Linked DNA regions of Mus musculus. The protein of the gene in region 2 interacts with the protein of the main gene of each other region in a biochemical or structural test. Links are inferred from orthologs where the notes say so. Each region holds a gene or a part of one and is shown on either strand. Other genes may lie near its edges.

Region 1 (3,631 bases), on a different chromosome or scaffold from region 2:
TTTCTTTTCTTTCTCTTCCCTTCCCTTCCCTTCCCTTCCCTTCCCTTCCCTTCCCTTCCCTTCCCTTCCCTTCCCTTCCCTTCCCTTCCCTTCCCTTCCCTTCCCTCCCCTCCCTCTCCTCCCCTTCCCTCCCCTCCCCTCCCCTCCCCTCCCTCCCCTCCCTCCCCTCCCCTCCCCTCCCCTCCCCTCCCCTCCCCTCCCTTCCCCTCCCCTCCCCTCCCCTCTCTCTCTCTTTTTCTTTCTTTTCTTTTTTTTTTTTTTTGAGACAGGGTTTCTCTGTGTAGTCCTGGCTGTCCTGGAACTCACTCTGTAGATGAGGCTGGCCTCAAACTCAGAAATCCGCCTGCCTCTGCCTCCTAAGTGCTGGGATTAAAGATGTGCGCCACCACTGCCAGGCCTAGTCCTATTTTCAAGGAAATAACTTTGAGAAAGCTGCTTCCCCTAACTTCTTCATGGGTGACTGTAAGGCTTGGAAACATATGAAAGACGCTGACAAGTCCTGCAGTTAGGAAAGTCTATTCTCTTTATTTAACCTGCTGTTTCTCTCTCACTTTATCCAAAGTACTTTAGAGAGGAGCCTTAGTTATTACCTATGGAAAACACTCTAGGGCACACTGGCGTAAAAAGATCCCTTCTCCTATTTCTAGAAGCCTCTGAGAGATCAGGTCTGACTCAGTCATTGAAGTCCAAGAGCCACGGGGCTCGGGGAATGGTGGCTAGCACTGGGGACTGGGAGTGGGAACAGTGTTCACCAGCCTTGGAAAGAAAGTCTGCGGACATCTCAAGCCGAGAGAAACTTGGAATTAGAGAAGAGTGAGAGACTCTCGTTCTCACCTGGAGGAGGGCACCCCAGGCTGCAAGATTTCCCCACCTGCTGCAACCCCACCCTCTGAGGGGGTCAAGTTCAGTCTGCCTCAGGTCATGGCAGGGAGTCCCGGCATGCAGCAGGAGGGGAAAGAGTATGGGTTCCACAGAGGCAGGTGCCTCAAGCACCCAGCATTTCACACTAGAGGGGCACAGGGAGGCAGGTGACTCTTGTAATTCAGGGGCAAGGTAAGCTGGCTCCGATGTTCCAGAATGTCAAGATGAGCCCTGGGCACTGATTTCTGGGCAGGGCCCAGCGTGCACAGAGTCACCTGGGTTGAGAATCCTCCTACGGCATCAGTCTCTGCAGGGCTGTGTGTCAGGCACCCATTGGCCTCAGCATCATGCGTGTGCCGTGCAGTGAGTAGCTGGGGCCTCGGAAGTAGTGCCAGCGGATGCCATTGATCTTGTGCAAGTGCTGATGAACTGAATAGTAGATGCCATTGAGGTTGGAGAGGCCACAGGCATCAAACCACCACCCTAGTGGAAGAGGGAGGACAGAGGGTTTGGAGGAGGTGAGATTGGTGGCCGAGATTCAGGGAGGATAAGGCTCATGGACTGTCATTTTGGGGTGCCAATTTGCTGAAGGTGGTGGGCTGGGTATGGGTTGGGTATGGGCCAGGGCTTTGGAGGGTAGGAGAGGTTCCAGTCACACCGCAGGCCCCTTTGTGACTTCCTGCTGTGCCTCTGACACCCCTCTCTTCTTCCTGTTCCTTTGATGATCTCCTACCAGGCTCTGCCATGTCTTCCTGTTCACTCTAGTGGTCTCTGTGTTTGTGGATGTCCCTCTGCATGTCCTCTGTCTGTGTCATGTCTCTCTGTTGCCCTATCTTCCCCTGGGGCTCTGTCTCCAGTGTGTTCTGCACACTTCTAGCCCACCTATTGGACTTTAGTCCTCTCCTTGCTGTCTGCTGTCACCTGCACCTCTCTGCCTCTGCCACCTATGTCACTGCCTCTTCTGGTCCCTGTATCTGTGAGTTGGGTCTCATTTACCAGTGCTGCTCCCATTCCATCTTCAGCCTCTGGTCTTTTCCCTGCCAGGAGTATCGCCTGACAGAGAGGTGGGCAGGGGAGCTGCCCTCCCTGCTTCTGGTCTCTCTCATGATGTTTCTTCCTGGCCTGGGGAGTAGGAGAATCCTCAGACAAGAGGGTGGGATGGATGGGAACATCATGCCTTCCTGGAGCTACCCTTGCCATCTCCCAGTACAACCCAGTGGGAACTCCAGTGACTAGAAAGAGGGAGGTTTGGCTAGAGTCTCACCAGGAGCACCCATCTCCAGACAATATTTGGACACACCCACCTCCAACATCATCTGGACACACCCACCAGCAGGTATTGTCAGATACACCCACCTCCAACATCATCTGGACACACCCACCAGCAGGTATCATCAGATACACTCACCTCCAGATATCATCTGGACACACCCACCAGCAGGTATCATCGGATACACTCACCTCCAGACAGCATCAGAACACATTCACCTCCAGATATCATCTGGACACACCCACCAACAGGTTTCATCATGATAAACTCACCTCCAGACAGCATCTGAGCACATTTACACATGCAGTTATCATTGTCCATGTCTTTGGTGCTGAACTTGGTGCCCTGAGGAGCCAGGCTGTTCTTGCGCCCTGCTGAACTGCTGCTGTCATTCACAGAGAGGCTGGAGGCAGTGGTGAGGTGGGGTAAGAAAGGGGTACAGAGAGTCAGGCTGGGGCTCCTCCACAGGTTCTGCTCTGGAAAAGTTTCCAACCTGTTGTTTTTGCATGAGAAATGTACCCTGATCTGACCAGGTCATTGTCCTTCATGGTGCCCTCCTTATTTGCCACCCTGGGGTCACAGCGCTCACCGCTGCTCACCGCTCCTGGGACTTTTATACTGGCTGGATGTGGGAGCTGTGTGTGGGAGACACAGAGTGAGGAAAGCAGGTAGAAGTCTTTCAAGCATCTGCCCTGGGCCAGGTATTGTTACAGTGTCTTGAGAAGGCTAACTCATTTTCATTTAAACCTCATAATACCTTTTCCTATGCAAGAAAAGGGGGATGCCAAGAGCCGCAGGAACCTGCTCAGGTTCTCAGACTCAGTCACCAGCAGTGCCAGTGTCCAGTCTGGAGCAGCCTGGTACAGGCGGGGTTACATGCTCTTTGCCTGCCAGCCCTGCCAGTTCAACATTACAGCTGGTCTATTCCACACTTCTTTCATAAAGCCCTCCTAGCCAGTCCAGCCCTCATGGATCAATCCTCAGGGACCCCCCCTTCCTACAAGGGGACAAAGGGTCTCTATTTTCTTACCAAACTCTGTGACTATGTCCAAGCCTCCAGGGTGATCATGACTGTGGGGTTAGGGTAGGTCAGGGTGCCTGGATTCAAACCCCAACATGTCCAGTCTGTCATTGCCTGGCACTGGGAAGGCATCTTCACTCCACTGAGACTCATCTTCACTTATTCATAGGTGACAAGAGACTGTGACTTTGTTCACCATATGATTTAGTGATACCATTCAGTGAGTGTGCTGAGGCGGGTTTGGTGAGAGCCCTGCACATTCAGGACCCGGCATTCAGTCCTTGGCACAGGTTGAAAAACATAGGGAAAGCTTACCTGAGCCGCTGAGGCAGGAGCTGGCTCAGGTCACTAAGAGGCTTCTATATTATATATACTTATATGCAATATATATTATATAGTATAAGTATATATATATATGTGTGCAGTATATATATATAGTATATATACAATATATAGTATACTATATAATAAAATATACT
Region 2 (4,390 bases):
AAATTAGACTCTTCCTGGAAGTTCTTTCAGGGTAGGGCTAAGGGGGAAGTGCTAACAAGAGCAATGGTTGGAAGGGAGAGTTTCTGTAGAAGGCCAGATCTTCCCTTGGAAAACAATCCCAAGAGGTGTCCTGATCCCAGTCCAAGGAGAAGGCTCCTGGGACCACTTTCCTGACCTTACTATTGCGTTTCCTTTGCCAGCCCAGACAACATCTCTGTTATCTCTGAATCCAGTTGTTTAAAATGTCACACAAGACAGGAAAGACAGCTGAAGATGTGTGACCTGAAGACTTCCTATCAGTGTGAATCATATAGGACATCCATGATGAAACAGAAGTGGTGTTTTTTTTTTTTTTAAGTGTACACAATTCTTTAGAGCCTGCAGCCAGGTTTGGTGTAGATATGGAATTAAAGAGGGGGTAACACTGCTAAGTTCTATGAGAACTTGTTTGCAAGCTGAAATTGGCAATAATACTCCAGTGGAAGGAGCAAGCGCCAGAATCTGAGTTGTTATGGAAGCCACAAACCTCTTCCAGTTTATGCCTTAGCAGGCTGCTTTGCTACCCAGAGCAACCTTTATTGAGGCAAATACAGAGTCTTTATTCTTCCATTATGTTTGTTCAACAAAAAAGGAATATCAGGCCACCAAGTAGACTAGACATATAAGCTCTATATCCCCTTCCACATTAATGAAGTACACTATTAGAGTCTGACTTGAAGGAAGAACTCCTGAGGCTGTTTGTGTGATCACCAAGCCTCACTCAAGTTCATGGAAGCTTGGGTACAGAATGAAAGTCAGGAATTAACAGAGACCTTCAGCAGAAACCAAGCTTTCTGTGTTCTACTTTCTGACAAGAACATGACCTCCTCCTTCTTGTCATCTTCGCTCCAGAAATCAGTTTCTAGCATCAGTGAGACAACTGTTTTGGAACAGAACTTTTTTGTATGAATTCATGACAACTTTTCTAAACTTATTTGTAAAATGCCATAAAAAAGTCACTTAAGGAGAAAGACTAAGTTAAAATAGTTCTGTGTATGTGTGCGTGCACATACGTATGTGAACATACTATTAGTTTATTTAACTTAAAACTAAGTCAGAGCAGAACTAGATACTTGGACTTTGTATTATTATAGTCTCTGGTGTAAAATCAGTCCCATATTCTATAACGCTGATCAGTGTGACTTGTGGAAAGCAAGATGAAAGTGAGGAACCATAATTATTATTTAAAAGTACATAGTAACAAAGACATCAACCTGTCTCTACATTAATATAAAGACGAATCCAAATTTACAGCAATATATTATGCTGTTATGTTAATTATAAGTAAGTTACTACATAAGTAATTGGCACCATCTTAGATACTCTTTCAGCAATTTACATTACTCTTAAATATTATTAAATTTCTGATATGTTGGTTGTTGAAATCAAATTGAAAAGTTACATGAGAAATTGCACACAATTATCATACTTTACTGGGTTAAATTTTTTTGAATACTTAACAAAATATTTAAACATATAGAAAAATATAAAAGTAACATCAAAAGTATTTCTTTGTATCAAATGCTATACTATATATAGCCTCACCATTAAGTTTGATAAATTTTCCCAAATTCATCTCCTGTGTCAATTACATTTTTATCATAATAATTAGAATACTTCCAAACCAATTCGGGGAATCCTATGGCAATGATAATGTGTCTGTGATCTGCAGTTTGGGTCCCCATGTTTCTCCTAGCATGGTTTACCTATGCTGAGTGAGTTACAAGGCACCCCACTGTGTAGAGCCTGTGATACACATACAGAACCCAAGCTCATCCTGGCTGCCCTCTCTAGAGGTGCCACTACAGGACTTGGCAAAATACTGAATCCGGTGAGCTTGGTAATTGACTACATTTTAGTTAGCTTGCTAGGGCTAATCTTTATGTGAAACATCAAAAAATTAAAGTCAGTGGCATAGCCCTAACTCCTGGACCCCTACCTAAAAGACGAAAAGCCCTTAACTGGACTACTGAAATTAAAAAGCATGGAGATACACAATCTTTACAGAAAAGTGGTCTTGTTTTTAGTTAACAATGACGTTTTTGTACATGGCTAGGTAAGAATTTTGTTTCTACCAAAAAAAAAAAAAAAAATCATTGAAGTCTTTCTTTAAAGTGATTACAACCCAAATTTGTTGTTATGGATAAGAAAACACCAGAATGAGAGGCAAGAAAGAATACTCCAAAAAAAAAAACAAAACAAAACAAAAAACAAAAAACAAACAAACAAAAAAAAAAACCAGATCCCTTCAAATAAGGTGACTTACTCAGTCCTGGGAGAGACCGTGCAACCCAGGAGGCAGCATCTGTCTACAAGAGATGGCTAGAAAACCCAGCTGGTGCCGCTGGAATCTGAACTTCAAAACCGTTGCCATGTGTAAACTGGAGAGTCTCAGAAAAGCAGTGTCAGGGTCACCAAATCGAAGGTTTGGTGAGAGAGAGAATGGCGAGAAGTCACTGTTGTTAAAACATGACACACACACACAAATAAACATCAAGCCAAAACTTACCATAAAGGAGCAAGCTGACTCCACAGAGAACTAAGCCGGCTAAAGAGTCCATACTTCCCCAGATCTCCCCATCCAGCGTCCACAGATGAGCATGAGTCCCTGGGAAGCTTTCAACAACTCACAACTTTGCGACTTCCCGCTCGCATGGTCCACTCGCTCTTGTTTACAAGTTGGCGGCAAGGAGAAACACCACAGAAGCAGGCGGTAACAGTCTCATTTCTGTCTGAGCACAGGGAGGGTTAAGTTCCTTTTTCCTGTTTCCTTTGCAGATTAGGATGGGAAAGGCTGTATCTTAAAGGCACTTGGTATCAGCAGGGCTTGGGGCAGAGCGAGCCCTATCCATCTTGCCCTTCATCCAAGGCTTATCTTCTGCTCCTGCTCCGGCTCCTGCTCCTGCCTTAACTGGATTGTGGGGCAGAGGGATCTTTGTTACAAGTAAGGTCCTGGTCAGCATTTTCAGGAACAATAGGGGTATCCTCTCATAGGCCAGGAATTGAATAACAAGCCCTCCACCTATGTATGGTATGCGATGAGGACCAGCCCTTGCAGGCTAAGCTGTTCTCTGGGGTGCATTTGGGATCCCTGACAGAAGGGGCTTTGGGGCACGGGGAGCAGCACTTGCTCTCCTGTTTTTGTTTTCACTCACAGGGTTTGAATTGGGCAACAAAGTTTCCTGTGATGAGAAATCATAACCTGGAAGGCAATCAATTTGAGGGAGCGTGGTTGAGGTCAGCTCTCAGCGGAGCCACTAGAGACCAGATTCCACAGCCATTAGCCTATTTTCTTACACCCAGATCGCCTGCCTGTTGGCCCTGAGCCCAAATATACGCATGCTACTGGCTACAGCTTTAATTTTTATTAGCATTTCATCTGAGTGTGATCTAATTCGTTGGAGAACTTGGCACAGGAAGATTTTAGTAATGTGAATAATTTCATAGTTATTGGCAAACAGAATTTCAGATGCAAATTATATACAAAAATATGGGAGAGGCACTTTTTAAGAGAGTGACTTGCTCTACAGCTTAGGCAAGCCTGGAACTAGCCTGGAGCTCATGATAACGATGCTCCCTCAGCCTCCCGAGTGTTGATACTACAATCATAAACCACACTCTTGGATTACTCCGGAGATTTTTAAATAATCAGGCAGGTGAGATGGCTCAGCCGGTAAAACCAAGACTGAGTTTAATTCAAAGCCCGTGTGATGGAAAGACAGACACCTGAAAATGTGCACCTCCCATGTGACCTAAATGAATACACACATTCATAAAAACTATAAACAACAAAGTTATAAATCATCTCTATAAAGACCCAACAGAAGTGATTATGTCTACAGGAGCAGAGTGATGGATGAGTGATGAATTCTCCAGCAAGCTCAGGCACCTGAACCTTCCTTACCCAGGTGATCACTTGCTCTCACTGGGAATGAAGCAAGCATGCCACTAGACACACGACCTTGCATCAAGGAAGGACTGCCCCTCCCTTTCCCACCAGCCACAGGAAGAGACACGGAGGCACTGCTAGTCTTGGTGGATTTCTGCCTTAGGTTTTATCACTTCAGGGCTGATCTTGAGTGCCTGTAATGCTTCCAATCTGCAGGGGTAGATAGCTCAGCTCTGTCCTCAGGCACAGCTGAGGGCAGACCCTGACTCAGCTGTTAACAGGTCAAGAGCAGACACTGAGGACTAGTAATGTTTCCAACCTGAGGAGTGCATAGCCCTGTTCAGTCCTCAGGCACACCTGAGGGCAGACACTGGCTCAGAGGTAAGATTATGATAGCTATTTCCATTCCAGAGACTTTTAAATGGCAATAGTATCTCCTTCATGGGTTTTGGTTTTGTGTTT
Region 3 (3,974 bases), on a different chromosome or scaffold from region 2:
AAACATAACCCTCTTCTGTTGCCAACTCGGGAGCCAGTCTGCTACAGGATGCATTTAAAAAAGATTCAGTTAGTTCTCTTCCAAACAGACTCTGTGAAAAACAACATTCCCCATGCAGATTCTAGATTCACCTATGATCTAAAATCATGACTCTCCTAGCCTCCAGAAGCCGAGGATGTGTAACACAGAGTTGCCCTGGGGTTTCTGGAGGCGGACGTGGTCCTTTGAGTCAGGGATGCTGGAGTCTTCCCAGTACCGATCTCTGCAGCATTAACTTCTAGTCATGAAGGGGTGGTGACTCTGGACCAGCAGAGCCACAGAGCTGGAAGTGTTTTAGAAGTCAGTGCAGCCCCCAGCTTTTATGGCCAGGGGCTTTTGAACTTAATTAAAAGGGGAAAGTGATTTGCCTGAGCCCACTGACTGGGACTAATTTAATCAGGAACATGCCACAGAGTGATGAGCCCGAGGAAACCCTGATACAGTGAAGGAAAAGGTGTATGTTTGTTTCCTCTCGACATACTTCACTCAAATATCTATTGTTACTTAACAGACAATTAATCAGGCCAAACTACTTTAAGTTTTATTTGTATAGTATTTTGTGTTAAGGCACAGACATGTGAGTGCTGAGAAAACTGATGTTGGTAACTTGATTTAATAATATCAAACTGGGTTAAAATAAAAAAAAATGTGCATAACTTAAAAAAAAAACCAAATACCAACAAGACTTTACTTCCCCTTGGAAAAGCACATTTACAAGGGCTGATCTTAGCCTTTATATTTACAATAAAGAAAATAAACCAAGGTCCCGATATAGCTGTAATTTTATTCCTAAAAGAACAGAAACTTTCACTATGCTTTAAAATTAAAGTGATTACCTCAGATACTCTGCAAGCTTAGCCTACAAACGAGCAGACAGACAACAGAGCCCCAGCTACTCTCTAGGAAATAATTAGGGTGGTGCCTCTGACATGCCCAGGGGTCTTGTGGCTGGTCTGTGTTCCCAGAAGGCTTCTGCAGTACACAGTCCTTTGGGGCAGTAAGCACTATGCTCTGATTTTTCCTGTTGCCTGGCTAGTGACCCCCTACAGGAAGATAGTGGGTGAGCCAGGGGGCGGAGCGGCTGGCTGCACATGTCTGGCTGCTCTTATCAACTTATCATATAAGGGAAGGAAAGTGATTGATTCGGATACTGACACTGTAGACTCAGGGGAGAAACAAAGAGTCCGTGCAGACCTCTGGAGTGAGCAGGGCTGCTCCTTCCTCTCAGGACAGCTCCGAGTGTGCCGGGGAGAAGAGAAGAGAAGAGACAGGCACTGGGAAAGAGCCTGCTGCGGGACGGAGAAGGCTCTCACTGATGGACTTATTCACACGGCACAGCCCTGTGCCTTAGACAGCAGCTGAGAGCTCAGGACGCAAGTTTGCTGAACTCACAGTTTAGAACCCAAAAAGAGAGAGAGAATGTGGCAGATCATTTTCCTAACTTTTGGCTGGGATCTTGTCTTGGCCTCAGCCTACAGTAACTTTAGGAAGAGCGTGGACAGCACAGGCAGAAGGCAGTACCAGGTCCAGAACGGACCCTGCAGCTACACGTTCCTGCTGCCGGAGACCGACAGCTGCCGATCTTCCTCCAGCCCCTACATGTCCAATGCCGTGCAGAGGGATGCACCCCTCGACTACGACGACTCAGTGCAAAGGCTGCAGGTGCTGGAGAACATTCTAGAGAACAACACACAGTGGCTGATGAAGGTAGGAAGGTGGGCTGGCTCTGGTGAGCAAGAACTAATAGCCCTGGCTTTATCAGGGACTGGGGCTGCGGAGGTGGGCTGCAAACATCCTCTTTTGTGCTGCCCTGCAGCAAAGCAGTCACAGAGAGAAGAGCCACAGAGGGGTTGTCTGAAAAGAATGCCAGAATCTGGTCAGAAAACCCCCTGAACTTAGGAATCTTTGCTAGCCAAGCAGAGGAAGTGCGCTTCTCTGCAGATCGCGCGTGCTGTTTTGTTTGAGTAGCTGAGACTAAGTGACACCCATTACCAGGATCTTCTCAGCGGGTTGTAGGCATGTGAGGGAGGCTGTGAACAAGACAGCACGGAGCCAGGAAAAACGTGACAATCACGTTAATTACGGATACTTAACGGATGGAGTCAAGTGCTTTACCAATTTCCTGAATTTCTTTACGAAAATAGATTATGACTCTTGGTAAAAGAGAGGAAATTAAATAAAGCCAACCTTGTGTTCTCAGAGTCTCAGGGCTGCGCTGTGAAGGGGCTGCCATCTGGAAATGGCACCGTGTTTCCCAAGTGTCCCGGAGACACTGCAGGCAGACCCCCGTTCAGTTCCAGAGACAGGCTCTGAGCTTGTCCCCACGTGGGACTGCTATGCTCGTGCCACGCCGGGCGGGCTGAGAGGGTCTGACAGTTTGTTCTTGGGGCTGCGACGACTGCTCTGTTTCATGGCCTTTTTATAGACCGTAACCAAAATAAGACACTGAAAGGGTCTGTTTTGCTTTCACAAATGATTGTTTTCTACAAAACCTCAAATGACCCCGGAGTATTCTTTATGTGAACCATATGTATTCCACAGGAAGTTTAAACAAAGAATGTAGATAGTAGATGAATCGTTACACATTGTGACAATGACATCACATGCTCACAAGGAAATAGTTTAAAGTCATATAAATCTTTTAAAATCCTGTGGACTTCATTTAGTACGTCTTCCCAGAAAGACATAATTTGCTTTTCTCAGATGTCACCAGAATCTCTTGGTTTGATGCCCTGCCTTAATCTGAGAACAGAACCGGGGCCCAAATCTATGTTTCTCACGAATACCCCTACTTTCTTAAGTGGACAAGCTTTTGCTGGAACCCGGAGTCTAAATGAATGAGTGTCACTGGCCTTAATCTTGTGGAGAGAGGGGGAATTTTTCAAATCAAAGAACAAAGATTGCTCAGGACTACAGGCACACAAAAATTTTTTTTTTCTTCTATTTTTTTCCTGGGTGATTTCCTCAGTTTTTCTCCTTTGCAAAACTCACAGATAGCTGAACACTAAACTTTAATGTTAAGAGACATGTCCCAGGGCCTGGAGTGGGGAGGGGTCCCAGGTATCTGCGTGTCTCTTTGGACTTCTTTGGGAACTGTCTTGCACACATTCAGGGACCTTCCACATCTACTGTGGCGTTGGGGGGTGCAGAGCTCTGCAGAGGGAGAGGCACAGCCTTCTAGTAAACACTTTAATCTGCCAACTGCCAAGTCCTCTGCTAAGATAAACAGTCACCAAACCAGGGGGGAAAATGTTTTGCCAAGGGCAACGCTGCTCATTTCTTAGGCTCAAGCTCAGCAGAGTCCAGGCTAGGCAATACCTGGGCTTGGCTTTCCTGCGCAGGGAAACCACATCTCCTGCGGGGCTTTGCAAAGCAGCTTAGAGACAGGAGGAGGAACTGGAAGTAAGGTGGCCACAATCTCCTCCTTCCCAGGGTCTCTTGGTCAATATTTGAACAGTAGCTGGGTGGTATCTCAAAAGCCCTTCTTTCGGCTTTTTAGCTAACTCTGCCGGAGCAGAGCAGAGGGGCAGGGCGGCTCAGGGCTTATCTGGTCATCAGCTCCGCACCTGCTCCCATCAGCACCTGCTCCAGCTCCGGGAGAGCGAGAGCCGCACCTGAGCAAGGCAATTTGCCAGCTCATTCACCGGGTTTATGGGCTCCAGGCACGGAAACAAAAGCAAAAGGCAAATATGAAGCCCACTCGGAATGATTGCATGAAATCCCTCTGCTTGTTTTCGTCCTCTGTGTTTTGGCACCTGCAATAATAAACACTGCTTTTCTCTTCGGGAAGAAAATAAGGACTAGTGGAACGGCAGATAAGCCGGGTAGCTAACAGAGCAGCAGCAGCGAGCACCATCTATTTATAGATTATCACAGAAAGAAAAAGGCAGGGGTTGATTTCATTGTCAAACGTGTTTTCTTTCAGCTGTTTTTAA

Evidence for each region.
Region 1: the proteins of Tek (region 2) and Angpt4 form a complex in vitro, tested with the Homo sapiens proteins (2 studies listed by BioGRID and IntAct). The link is inferred for Mus musculus from reciprocal best matches to the Homo sapiens genes TEK and ANGPT4.
Region 3: the proteins of Tek (region 2) and Angpt2 form a complex in vitro, tested with the Homo sapiens proteins (7 studies listed by BioGRID and IntAct, with this or other methods). The link is inferred for Mus musculus from reciprocal best matches to the Homo sapiens genes TEK and ANGPT2.

Annotation. Positions count from the first base shown.
Region 1 is NC_000068.7:151,942,207-151,945,837, reverse strand, and holds the end of Angpt4 (angiopoietin-4 precursor), read right to left. Parts: intron 2,535-3,631; coding exon 2,404-2,534; intron 1,345-2,403; coding exon 1,184-1,344; 3' UTR 501-1,183; downstream 1-500. UniProt on the Homo sapiens protein: Binds to TEK/TIE2, modulating ANGPT1 signaling. Can induce tyrosine phosphorylation of TEK/TIE2. Promotes endothelial cell survival, migration and angiogenesis.
Region 2 is NC_000070.6:94,737,851-94,742,240, reverse strand, and holds the start of Tek (angiopoietin-1 receptor isoform 2 precursor), read right to left. Parts: upstream 2,953-4,390; 5' UTR 2,601-2,952; coding exon 2,549-2,600; intron 1-2,548. UniProt on the Homo sapiens protein: Tyrosine-protein kinase that acts as a cell-surface receptor for ANGPT1, ANGPT2 and ANGPT4 and regulates angiogenesis, endothelial cell survival, proliferation, migration, adhesion and cell spreading, reorganization of the actin cytoskeleton, but also maintenance of vascular quiescence.
Region 3 is NC_000074.6:18,738,763-18,742,736, reverse strand, and holds the start of Angpt2 (angiopoietin-2 precursor), read left to right. Parts: upstream 1-1,174; 5' UTR 1,175-1,458; coding exon 1,459-1,746; intron 1,747-3,974. UniProt on the Homo sapiens protein: Binds to TEK/TIE2, competing for the ANGPT1 binding site, and modulating ANGPT1 signaling. Can induce tyrosine phosphorylation of TEK/TIE2 in the absence of ANGPT1.